Arabidopsis thaliana: one gene and its partner. The protein of the gene in region 1 purifies or fractionates together with the protein of each later gene. This does not show direct contact. Each region holds a gene or a part of one and is shown on either strand. Other genes may lie near its edges. The genes, in order: AT3G54470 and AT1G63770.

Evidence for each region.
Region 2: the proteins of AT3G54470 (region 1) and AT1G63770 fractionate together in Arabidopsis thaliana (co-fractionation; one large-scale study listed by BioGRID). This does not show direct contact.

The regions. Positions count from the first base shown.
Region 1 is NC_003074.8:20,166,947-20,173,487, reverse strand, and holds AT3G54470 (uridine 5'-monophosphate synthase / UMP synthase (PYRE-F) (UMPS)), read left to right. Parts: upstream 1-3,167; 5' UTR 3,168-3,242; coding exon 3,243-4,031; intron 4,032-4,123; coding exon 4,124-4,207; intron 4,208-4,385; coding exon 4,386-4,468; intron 4,469-4,552; coding exon 4,553-4,640; intron 4,641-4,721; coding exon 4,722-4,976; intron 4,977-5,071; coding exon 5,072-5,203; 3' UTR 5,204-5,483; downstream 5,484-6,541. Other genes in the region: SKIP5 (SKP1/ASK-interacting protein 5), read left to right, coding at 163-325, 777-921, 1,007-1,085, 1,995-2,053, 2,227-2,605; AT3G54460 (SNF2 domain-containing protein / helicase domain-containing protein / F-box family protein), read left to right, coding at 6,302-6,541.
Region 2 is NC_003070.9:23,660,872-23,667,412, reverse strand, and holds the start of AT1G63770 (Peptidase M1 family protein), read left to right. Parts: upstream 1-2,915; 5' UTR 2,916-3,169; coding exon 3,170-3,247; exon of another isoform or gene 3,248-3,549; coding exon 3,550-3,624; intron 3,625-3,707; coding exon 3,708-3,752; intron 3,753-3,858; coding exon 3,859-3,999; intron 4,000-4,086; coding exon 4,087-4,162; intron 4,163-4,307; coding exon 4,308-4,384; intron 4,385-4,533; coding exon 4,534-4,650; intron 4,651-4,728; coding exon 4,729-4,803; intron 4,804-4,886; coding exon 4,887-4,994; intron 4,995-5,081; coding exon 5,082-5,294; intron 5,295-5,382; coding exon 5,383-5,444; intron 5,445-5,569; coding exon 5,570-5,597; intron 5,598-5,678; coding exon 5,679-5,765; intron 5,766-5,847; coding exon 5,848-5,873; intron 5,874-6,046; coding exon 6,047-6,191; intron 6,192-6,276; coding exon 6,277-6,324; intron 6,325-6,413; coding exon 6,414-6,432; intron 6,433-6,541. Other genes in the region: IMP4 (Ribosomal RNA processing Brix domain protein), read left to right, coding at 170-281, 379-462, 564-673, 765-815, 1,280-1,423, 1,523-1,612, 1,764-1,870, 2,061-2,148 and 1 more. UniProt on the Arabidopsis thaliana protein: Aminopeptidase with broad substrate specificity for several peptides. Involved in proteolytic events essential for cell growth and viability. Plays an essential role during prophase I of meiosis.

The DNA of each region.
Region 1 (6,541 bases):
TTTTACTTTTAAGAAAACTCCAAAAAAGCATAACCATAATGTCATAAAGACATGTTTTTGTTGGACCGGACATAACCAATGTCGAGATGACGTCAATGGATAGTTGAGTCGGCTGTTATTAACGACGGCGACGAGTTAGGGTTCATACTTCCTAAAGCGGCCATGGAGTTACATGAGATCTCAAAGCTCGACAATAAGAAGCATCCAGAGAGAATTGTTGAATCGAAGATGAAGAAGAGAATGAAACCTTATTCTCTCACGTCTCTTAACAATCTCGACGATGGTTGCCTTATGCATATCCTCAGCTTCCTATCTCCAATTCCAGGTAAAATTGGTTTCTTTTTCGCATCTATTACTTTGGTTTTCTCATACTTTTATACTTCTTTGTTCAATTCTGCTTTTAATTGTTTCGTTGTTTGTAATTCATTTAGAAAATTTGACCAACTGTTTCACATCTTAATGACGGTTCTGTGTCTCAAATTTACTACTTTGAGACTTTGCAGATCCTAATCAAATCATAATTGAATTCAATTCTAATCTCCATGATGAATTATCTGTTTCTCTTGACTTGGTGTGTATGTGATACAGCTTTGTAGTAATGTAACAGAATCAGCAAGAAAGCTTTTGACTTTGTATTGAATTGCTATGTTTTGATCTGTATGGTGTTGTGTGAAGCTTTGAAAATTTCGTATTTTGTTTGTATGATTGACTTGGGCATTTGTTGCGTACTACAGTCTGTTTCAATGCTGTTTTGTGTATCTCTTGTGAGTTTGCAGATAGGTATAACACAGCACTCGTTTGCCACAGATGGAGATATCTGGCGTGTCACCCTCGCTTGTGGCTCCGTGTTGACCGTTTTGTCAAGGATTTATCTCAGCCTGGAGTTTTCCTCAACATTGAGTCAGCTGTATCTGCAGCAAGGTTTGTAATATTATCAGTTACGTTATTTACACTTCTTTGTTATTCGTAAAAGGGTCCATAAATCTAACCAAATTGTCACCTCTAGACCCGGCGATACCATTTTAATAGTAGCCGGTGGGAACTATCGCGTTTCTAATATTCAGATTAAAAAGCCTCTTTGCCTGGTATGTCTTTCAAAGAATATATGTCTAGTGTAATTGCTTGATATTTCTGAAAGAATCGTTTATAACTTTCTCTAGAAATGGCAATGTGAAATTGGTCTACTTTCACATGTTTCTTGAGTCTTGCCAAAAAAAATTAGACTTCAAAAATCGCAAGTAGTGAAAAATAATTTATAGGACTTAGTATAAACCATTTATACCAACATCTGTGTAGTATCCAAGAAACATGTGAACATATGGTAACATATCTATTCTCATGAGGATGGAGATTCCATTCCATGCCATAGGTCTCGGCATCTGAGATCAGTATGCATTGAAGAGATCCAGAGAAAACAATGCCACGTCTTAGGTACCAAAATAGAAATGAAAGATATCTTAAGCTTGCACACAATTACTTTCAATGCCACAACTGGAAACTAAGCACGAGCTGTTTGTGACATGGACGTTTTAACGAGTGTTAAAGAACTAGAACTTGATGACTAAAATTTTCTTTGACTGTCGTGAGAACTCGAAAAAAAGAATTCAGTTCGACTTCAAAGTCTTTTATGCACTTGCCACCTACCTATCAGTAATGTTCCTTTTCTCATACTGGGCAACACATGGAATGACTGTAAGCTGTAATGAAAACTATTGAAAGTAGACCTTGGTGTATGAATTAGGATGAAAAGATAGAGTTGCAGAAATATGAGTGATTTATCATGAATGTATGGATGCACACCCCTAGAATACCTCAGTGTAGATTAGGGGTTGGCTTATCAGTGTCCCTAGTTTCAGTTAAGTGGAAGAATGTACGCCTTGAGGTTGAAAGGAGTTCCTAAGCTATTGAAAGTAGATGCCTTGAGGATGATGTTGATACATAAGTCTCAATGTTCGATAGTAGTCTCAGTTTTATATTATCTTCGCTTTGTTCAGGTCGGTGGAGGCGAGATTCCTGATGAAACCACCCTCGTCTGTGCTCGTGGTTCAGACAGGTTTGGAACTCATATTCCCTCTTAAGACATTTCCTCTCTACAGTTGTTTTCAAAATTCTTTCTGGGAGGTTTTAGCTTCTTAAAAGTTGTTGAATACCGCATTTCCCATTGATGTTTAAAGAAAAGGAAAATACTTTGGTATACGGCTTTTTGTTGTTGGGTTTATTGTGCAGTGCCCTGGAACTGTTATCAACCTGCAAGCTTGCGAATTTAACAGTAAAAGCAGAGCTCGGGTGCTGTTTGCTTCATAGGAGTGGAAGGCTAACGATTGATGGATGTGTGCTTCAATGTGAGACAAACCCTTTGGATCATCTCTCATGCCCAATCGTGAGCACTGCTGGAGATGAAGACATTGAAAATATCTTAAGCCATGTGGAAGTGAAAGAAACTGTTACTGGAAAGATTAAAGCAAACAGTGTAACCGTTTTGCAGACAAGAATCGAGGGAGGTGCAAAGGCTGTTTCAACAAGGGGAGACTTGGTTCTGCAGCGTGTTCGAGTCATGTATTCCAAGGCTTACCTCTATTTCTGGTTTGATGTAGATTATGAATGATTTTTGCTGGTTTTATTTATTTTTCTTCTTCTGTCTGTAACATTAGTAATCTGTGTGATGATGGGAAATGATCCATCTTCATTTGTACTTTGTGTTTCCCCTTAAGACCAGACAGGTCCTTTGTTGTATGCTTATTATGTTCAGAAATAATGTCCTTTTTAGGACGAATTGCCGAATTCATTTCAATTGGATTTTTATAATTTCTGCTTAGTGTATCTTTTGTGATAAATGGTTTCTTTCTTCACTGTTATCAAAATATTAGAGATTTTTTTCTCTCAAAAAATATTAGAGAGAATTTCAAACAATGCAACAGAAAACAGCTTTATTATAGTAAAGAAATTGCAACAATTGTTGTAGACAATGACTTCAACAAAAAAATATTCTATACAATGAAAAAGTATTTCTAAAATGTAAATAAAATGACATATTCAGAGTAGATTTTTTAGGAAAATAAAACGAAAACTGAATGCATAAAAGATGATAAATACGAATAATTTTACATATTAAAATAAATAAAAACATTGAAACACCAAAAATAAGACAAAACCTAAAGTATATAAAGCCAACACTCTCCAGTGTGCAGTCGTTCCAAGTCCGCTTATCGAATTCTCCGATTCCAAAAGCAGCAGAAGAAAAAATGTCAGCCATGGAAGCACTGATTCTCCAGCTGCATGAAATCGGCGCCGTGAAATTCGGCAATTTCAAGCTCAAATCTGGAATCTTTTCTCCGGTTTACATCGACCTTCGTCTCATCGTCTCTTATCCATCCCTCTTAACACAGATCTCTCAAACTCTCATCTCTTCTCTTCCACCTTCTGCAACCTTCGACGTCGTCTGTGGTGTTCCTTACACTGCTCTCCCTATCGCCACTGTTGTCTCTGTTTCCAATGGTATCCCTATGCTTATGCGGCGTAAGGAGATTAAAGACTATGGAACATCTAAAGCTATTGAAGGAATCTTCGAAAAGGATCAAACTTGTTTGATAATTGAAGATCTTGTAACTAGTGGTGCTTCTGTTCTCGAGACTGCTGCTCCTCTTCGTGCTGTGGGGTTAAAGGTTAGTGACGCGGTGGTTTTGATTGATAGGCAACAAGGGGGTAGGGAGAATCTAGCGGAGAATGGGATTAAGTTACATTCGATGATTATGTTGACGGATATGGTTAGGGTTTTGAAGGAAAAGGGGAAAATTGAAGTGGAGGTTGAAGTGAATTTGCTTAAGTTTTTGGAAGAGAATCGTAGGGTTAGTGTTCCAAGTGTGGAGAAACCTAAGCCTAAGCCTAGGGTTTTGGGGTTCAAGGAAAGGTCTGAGCTTTCTAAGAATCCGACAGGGAAGAAGCTGTTTGATATTATGTTGAAGAAGGAAACCAATCTTTGTTTAGCTGCTGATGTTGGAACTGCTGCTGAATTGCTTGACATCGCAGATAAGGTTAGGATCATTCTTGGTATCGAAGTTTGAAGACTGTTCATTAGAATTATGTTTTAGTGACATCTTCTTCCAAATGTTTTGTGTTGATGCAGGTGGGACCAGAGATTTGTCTCTTGAAGACTCATGTTGATATACTGCCTGATTTCACCCCTGACTTTGGCTCTAAGCTCCGTGCGGTAATTACTTTTGTACTAATTTGCTCTCACACATCTTCGAAATTCTGTTTCTTTGATAGGTTTAGTTATATAGAGTAAGTGAAGATTGTAATATCTGCAATAGACATGAGTCTCATGTCTGTTACTGATTAATTGGTCTCTTTGATACTCATTGATCTATTGTTTATTGTTACTTTAGATTGCAGACAAGCACAAATTTCTCATATTTGAGGATCGCAAGTTTGCAGACATTGGTAACACTGTCACTATGCAGTATGAAGGGTAATTTTTCTACATTATGTCACTTAGCTTTCATTCAAGTCTTTTCGAGTTTTCGTGTGCCAATTTTTTCTGGTTTGTTCGCAGAGGCATCTTTAAAATATTGGAGTGGGCTGATATTATCAACGCTCATGTAATATCGGGGCCAGGAATCGTGGATGGCCTGAAATTGAAGGTATTTTTCATTTCTCTTTATTACCAGATTATAGATTCTTTTGTTTTTCTAATGTTTTGTTGCATTCCTATATGATTGCAGGGTATGCCTCGTGGTAGAGGTTTGCTTTTGCTTGCTGAAATGAGCTCTGCAGGTAACCTGGCTACAGGAGACTACACTGCAGCAGCTGTGAAAATCGCAGACGCTCATTCTGATTTTGTGATGGGATTCATCTCGGTGAATCCAGCATCTTGGAAATGCGGGTATGTGTATCCGTCTATGATTCATGCAACACCTGGTGTTCAAATGGTGAAAGGTGGTGATGCACTTGGTCAGCAGTATAACACTCCACACTCTGTGAGTCTCTCCCAACCTTACCACATTTATCTTACATCCATTGTTAGTATTCTAGTCTGAAATATAATGTTGATTGCTCTTTTATTTTATTTTAGGTGATTACTGAGAGGGGAAGTGATATTATAATCGTGGGACGGGGAATCATAAAGGCGGAAAACCCAGCAGAGACGGCTCATGAGTATAGAGTTCAAGGATGGAATGCATACTTGGAGAAATGCTCTCAGTAGATTCGATCCTGAGAGATGGCTGAGATTTTTTGTTTTTGTGTTCTAGTGCTATAAGATTGTGCTAGTTTTTGTGTGATTTATGTGAGGATGGATTTTAAGACTCATGTCTCGTTGATTGTTTACTTGATTGAGTGATTCTCAGTTCTCAATAATAATAAAGTGAAGCGTGGCGAGTAGTTGATCTCATATGATTTGTACGGTTGATCACAATTTCTGGATCCTTTGGATTTGGCCGAGGCATTTTGTCAAATGTAACTCAAATCACGTAATGAATCAAAACACGAAGAGATAATATAAAGACTAATTTACAGGTTAAGTTACAGTCGCTTACACACAGGGCATGTGCGTGAAAATGTTGCCAAATACTCAAGTACTCAGGAAGGGATTTCAAGTGTAGAAAGACTTCTGTAACAAGTGACAGACTTGCTATTTCATTTACTCAAAAATGATCATAAAACAACTTCAAATTCTATTGGGCTTAAAACTTCAAAACTAACTTGCTATTTTGATTAGTCTTGAATCTTAATACATTGTTTTTTAAGATTGTAAGCCCACAAATTGTTTATATCAATCTATGTGGGCTTAAACCCACTGGGTACTCAAAACCCGGATAAAATTGCAAGCCCACAAATTGTTTTCCAAATCCAAAAAAACACGGGCTTAATATGGGCAGGTCTTGTTTTACACAAAGTCTCACACGGGTTTACTCTATTGGGTCGTTTTTTTTTGTTAGTAGTTATGTTAGTAAAACGACGGCGTTTAGATCAATTTATGTGAATTTAAATATAAACATTATCTCCATATCCATTGTTTTGAAAACGGTGCACGTGTAGCTATCTCATTGGTTAGAAAAACACACGTGAAACTCTCTAAATTGTTTTGCTGAGCTGGATGAGAGAGAATTAAGTCAATAACAAATAAGATTTTTTTCCCGTTTTTTCTTTAAAAAACATAAACCCTATTTAGTCATTGACTAATTTCATTGCGATTTATTTTCTTTTTCTTTCGCAGAGGTCGGACTCGAAACAGAAGAAGAGAAAGATGAGATTTTCCTAAAGCAAATCTACAAAGCCTTATAAATTTTTTTTTCTGGCGGCGATGGCCGATGATCACAAACTCTGTGGTTTTCTCTGTACCGTTCTTTCCGTCGATTCGCCTGATCTTCTTCAATCGGGCTCGTCTTGTTTCATCTTCAATGATGGTTCCGTCACCGGTTTCAAATCCGAAAATGGCTTGATCTTATCCCTCACTAATCCCATCTCTAATCTCCAATCCCTAATTTCGTCAAAAGGAGATCATGATGTTGAGAATTCCGGAACAATTGAAGACGGTCGATTG
Region 2 (6,541 bases), on another chromosome or scaffold:
CCAAAATAGCTAGCTATCTCCGCCTCACGTTTTGAATGACAAACACCTTGCCGTTTTCTCAACACTTCGCTATTTTTCTTCAGTCGTCTTCTTCTTCCGGCTTCTCTCGAAACCCTTACCTAAAACCCTAATCCGCCACATCCGTGTTTTAGCCTCACGACGAATCACGATGCAACGCAGACTCGTAAGGTTAAAAAAAGAGTATATCTACAGGAAAAGCTTGGAAGGTGATGAGCGTAAGGTCTATGAGCAGAAGCGGCTGATAAGAGAAGCCCTTCAAGGTCTAGTGATGATTTTTTTTTTCAGTATCTGTTGAAACAATCATTGATTCGATGTGTATTTTTCGTTTTTCTGATTTTGGTTTATATGGTTTAACAGAAGGAAAGCCGATTCCTACTGAGCTCCGAAACGTCGAAGCCAAGCTTCGACAAGAAATTGATCTTGAAGACCAAAACACAGCTGGTAAGAATTTGGAAGCTAGATTTTTCCAATTGGTTTGAACCTGTGATATGAATGGTTTGTGGCATCAGCTAATGGTTATCATCTAATCATGTTGTTACTAGTTCCGCGGAGTCATATCGATGATGAATATGCAAATGCTACGGAAGCAGATCCAAAGATTTTGTTGACAACTTCTAGGAATCCAAGTGCTCCGCTCATCCGATTCACTAAGGTATTGTTTTGTTTAGTTTCCGTCGTTGAATAGATGCTGACGTTATAATGTTCCTGATTCCTTTTCATTGATGGTGTGGTTTCTGTTGCAGGAATTGAAGTTTGTGTTTCCTAACTCTCAGAGAATAAATCGTGGTAGTCAGGTATGTGTGTTGTTCTGGCTTCTGCACTTAAAGTCATTTGGAAATATCTAATTCTCTTTTTTTCTGTAATCTGGTTTTGTTTTGCAATTGATCATTGCTTGTGGTTTCTTCATCGATGTTGTTAAATTGATTGCCAATGGTATTAGCTCCCTTTTGTTTCCTGGGTATAACTATTGCATGTGCATAGACTTGTATCAGATTATTGTTGAATTTATGCGCAACACTGGTCATATCAATGAATTGCATATTAGATCAAGCTTTATAATTTAAAATGTAGTTGAGTCTGTCCAATTCTGCAGAATCTAGATTTCAAATAAAAGCAAGACTAATATAAACGATCATTTAAGCTGGAGTTGTACTGACACTTATATTCAACACAAAACCTCTCTATGTAAGTGTAACACGGAAACTATGTTGCATTCGAATCGTAATCTAAGTTTCTTTCCCACTCTGTTAATTTGCAGGTCATTTCTGAGATCATTGAAACTGCTCGTTCCCATGATTTTACTGATGTTATATTGGTTCATGAGCACCGTGGTGTGCCTGATGGTCTCATTATCTCTCATCTCCCATTTGGACCAACTGCATACTTTGGATTACTTAATGTGGTAAGTAACTCTTTGAGGATCTGATTTTTATATCCAAATCTTTCTTCTTTCAACTCCTAGTTTAGCCTTTTTACTTAATCCAAAGTCCCTTCTGTTTAGGTAACAAGACATGATATTTCAGACAAGAAATCCATTGGAAAAATGCCTGAGCAATATCCTCATCTCATTTTTAACAACTTTACTACTCAGGTATATCTCTAGAGCCAAAATTCACTTCGTTCTTACTGTAATTTGGTATTGGAAACCATCAAGCTTCGTCGTGTCTCATAGAATGATCGCTCTGGTTTATTCATTTCTAATGTAAACATATTTTCAAATTTGATTTCCCTTTGTTTTGCAGATGGGTCAAAGAGTTGGAAACATCTTAAAACATATCTTCCCTGCTCCAAAACTGGATGCAAAACGTATAGTTACTTTTTCTAATCAATCCGATTATATATCATTCAGGTAAAATTTTCTCACAATGATCAGATTTTACGAATTTTAATTGGTGACATCAATTGTAGTATGCAAAGCCTAAGGTCTTAAGGCTTATGTTAGCATTTGGTAATCTGATCCACATAGAAACAGCATGTAAGAACACTGTAAATACAACAGATGGAGATTTTTATAAATTCTTGTGGGTATATATATATAGGAATCATGTCTATGATAAAGGAGAGGGAGGTCCAAAATCAATCGAGCTTAAAGAAATCGGTCCTCGATTTGAGTTGCGGCTCTACCAGGTACGCATTCTGCTTAACCGAATCAAAACTGTTTTCCTCGAGTAAAATAATGGTTTGATAAAGAATCATTCTAGTTCCTTAGTAACAATGTTGTTTCTGTGTAATGCAATTATTTTTGCAGGTGAAATTAGGAACTGTGGAACAAAATGAAGCAGAGATCGAATGGGTTATAAGACCGTACATGAACACCTCTAAAAAGCGCAAGTTCATCGGTGAATGATGACTAAACGGAACAGCTTTGAACCCTTTATCTAAATTCTGTTTTACTTATCATTCTGTTGGAAGAGCTGTTCAGTTTTTGTGTCCTTAGAGAAAATTGCGATGATTTTGTTTTAACGTTTAGCTTATAAAAACAAAACTTTCTTGTCTTCAATTAGTATTTATCTTCAACCATATACTGTTGCGTGAGTCATAATAAAAAATTTTGTAGTAGTATTTTTATCCACGAATTCAAACAAAAATTATCTGAGCAGCATCGAAGTGCTAAAAGGTATTGGAAAATGGATAAACACAAAATTGTCAAAATTCTAAACTATAATTTTTATTTTTTAATTATAAATATCTTTCATCGTGTTGTTATATATATATCAGTCCCAGGTTTCGTCTCATAGTTTCAGTTGTGTCTCTTTCATCTGATCATCGGATCTATCGGTAATTTACTTCTTCGTCTTCCTCAGATCGATTTGATCTCTGTGAAAGTCGCGAAATCGAATTTTAATTTCGTTTAATCATTTGCTTGCTTCCCAGTTTTATTTTTGTTTTTTGTTAATATTATATCGAATTTTCTCGGCCATATTTTTCATTTTAAATTCTATCCATTAGTTTTATAAAAGTCCATAACTTACTGCTCTGTGTTTTCTCTTTTGATTCTTCTCTGTTTATAGTGAGTAGAGAGAGTTATCATCTAGGGTTTATAGATTGGAGATTTTAGCCGCAACAAGGAGGAAGTGTTTTTAATTTAATTTTATTGTTAAGAGTTATTGTTGCTTTAGGGATTTTTAGAATTTGGGTGTTCTTTTAAATGGCTCGGTTGATAATTCCTTGTCGAAGTTCGTCTCTGGCGAGAGTCAATCTTCTGGGTTTGCTCTCTCGTGCTCCTGTGATTACCCTTTAACTCTTTTTTTTGTTTCTTTTGGTTATAGATATAGAATGTTGTATTTTTGATTGATTCTGACAATAGAAATGATATAATTAAAATGATGGAGTTCTGTTCGAATTGTATGTTTTTGTTGAGAGTTTAGTTTTTACATGTTTTACTTTTGAATTCGGTTGTGTACACAAACCTTGGAAAGAACTTGTGTAAGAATAAGAAATTGTTCTTGATTCTTGTGTTCCTATGACTTCTGTTTTGTTTTGTTCCATCTTTATATGTTTATAATTATGTTAATTTCTCTTTTACAGGTTCCTGTTAGAAGCAGTTGTCTTCGTAGTTCGGCAAACAGACTTACTCAACACAGACCGTTTCTTACTTCCGAGGTTTGTGTTTCTTTGTTTCTTCTATCATCAAGTGCCACGCTATGTAAATAGAGAATGATCTTTGCTGTAATTCTTTGTTTCAGGCCATTTGTTTGAGGAAGAATCGGTTTCTACCCCATTCTGTTGATGTAACTTGCTCTATCCTTCCCTTATGATAGATAAAATCCAAAAGTTATTAGTTTAATGCTGTATTTGTGTAGTTAAAATAAATGCATATTCTGTTTTATATGTCAGACACATAAGCAAAACAGCAGGAGGCTCATTTGTTCTGTTGCCACAGAATCAGTTCCGGATAAAGCTGAAGATTCCAAAATGGATGCACCTAAAGAAATATTTCTCAAGAACTACACAAAGCCTGATTACTACTTTGAAACTGTATGCTAGCTTTCTTTTAATTCCAAATTGAGTATATGACTAGAATCATTTTGTTGTTATTTGAAGCTTTTTTGTTTGTTTGTTTAGGTGGATCTGAGCTTCTCTCTAGGTGAAGAGAAAACAATTGTTAGCTCTAAAATCAAGGTTTCTCCTCGAGTTAAAGGTACAACAGTCTAGTACTTTGCTGTTTCTTTAAGCTGAACATACAAGTTTATTTTTCTTTTGCATGAGCTGTTTGCATAGCTTTAAGATGGATTTTTGCTTCTTTTTTTCTCACATCACATCTGAACAAGTATCATGTTGGCCAGGATCTTCTGCTGCATTGGTCTTGGATGGACATGACTTGAAGCTACTTTCTGTCAAGGTTGAGGGGAAGCTTCTTAAGGTATCCATTCAATACTTTTCCTTTCGGAAAATATTTGTATCTCTAGGCTCACTTTATAGACTTTTCTCTAAGACAAGCAACTCAGTTGACTAAGAATAAGTAACTCAGTTTCCTCTCTGATACTTGGTCTCTCTTTTCACTTTGGCTAGGAAGGGGATTACCAGTTGGACTCTCGCCATCTAACTCTTCCTTCGCTTCCAGCTGAGGAGTCCTTTGTTTTGGAGATTGATACTGAGATATACCCCCACAAGAATACTTCACTTGAGGTGAACTTATTTTCCTTTCTTTTTAAACTTTCAATGATGTAAATGATTTCTTCTAACCTTTTTAATTTCTTCTGTTAGGGGCTTTACAAGTCTTCTGGGAATTTCTGCACACAGTGTGAAGCAGAAGGTTTCCGCAAAATTACATTTTACCAGGTTGATTACTTGTTGATAAGATGACTGGTGTTGGGGTAGTACAATTGATGTTCTTACATTGTGTTCTTATTATGAAATGACAGGATCGTCCTGATATAATGGCTAAGTACACGTGTCGTGTGGAAGGTGACAAGACACTTTATCCTGTGTTATTGTCCAATGGAAACCTCATTTCTCAAGGAGATATAGAGGTCAGCAAAATAATGCCTTCTTTCTTGTTTGCCAAGTGTCTCTCGGCTTGGTCTTTGCTGAAAGCATAATTGTTTATGGAAATGTAGGGTGGTCGACACTATGCCTTATGGGAGGATCCATTCAAGAAACCGTGCTATCTATTTGCTTTGGTGGCTGGACAGCTAGTGAGCAGAGATGATACATTTACCACACGCTCTGGTAGGCAGGTTTCCCTGAAAATCTGGACTCCTGCAGAAGATCTACCAAAGACTGCCCATGCCATGTATTCCCTAAAAGCGGCCATGAAGTGGGATGAGGATGTAAGCACTTGCATTTTTTAAATTGTAGTTGTTACTTGTTAGGTTACTGAATCTGATTATTTATTTATGTGTACCCTTTTTTCACTAGGTGTTCGGGCTTGAGTATGACCTGGATCTCTTCAACATTGTTGCTGTTCCAGATTTTAACATGTATGACCAAATGGTGGATTCTGTCACACTTGTAGAATTAATCCCTTTGCAAATATATTCTGTCCATTTTTCTTTTTCTTACTGTCGATACCAGACAAACTGATTGATTTTCGCTCGATTTTCAGGGGAGCCATGGAAAACAAGAGTTTGAATGTAACCCTACCTTACTTTATAAGAAATCATGTACTTGTAAACATTATATTTGATGGTAATCCATGAGCTTCTACTTTACAGATTTTTAATTCCAAGCTTGTCCTAGCATCTCCAGAAACAGCAACAGATGCAGATTACGCTGCAATTTTGGGTGTTATTGGTCATGAGGTATGTAATCGTTTATTGATATATTTTCTGGCGTTTCAGTTAATTTTCATTAAACTCATCTTTCATTGTGCTCTTTGTGCAGTACTTTCACAATTGGACAGGGAACAGGTCAGCCTCATCTCTCCTTCCCTTTGCTAGTACAATTGATTAATCTTTCTTATTGAATCTTCTAATTTTGTTTCTGGTATAAAATAGATGCTTCTCTGTGCAGTATATTTTATAAATGAAACATTCTTAGTGTGTGGCCTAATATATGACTAAAAGTCTACTTGTAACAACAGGGTGACATGCCGTGACTGGTTCCAACTCAGTCTAAAGGAAGGACTTACTGTCTTCCGTGACCAGGAATTTTCATCTGACATGGGAAGCCGAACTGTAAAGCGAATTGCTGATGTTTCAAAGCTTCGGATCTATCAATTTCCGCAGGTACCTTATTTTGTACTCCTTCGAGGCCTCTTCATGGGATTTTTTCATCTTCTCATGCCAACTTCTCTGTCCTCTAATTTATCAGGATGCTGGTCCTATGGCACATCCTGTTCGCCCACATTCATACATCAAGGTCAGAGATCTCTTATTTTGCCTTGGAAATGTTGATGTACATGTTATGTAAAGTGTTGCTAAATATGGATCTTTTCCTCTCTCTGGCAGATGGATAACTTCTACACAGGCAAGTTTCTGTTCACAAGAAGGAATTCCATTAAAGCATTGTATTATGTTAATCTTAGCATTGTGATCCAATCTAACGTTTGTGTGCTTTTGTAACCTGTTCGAACCTG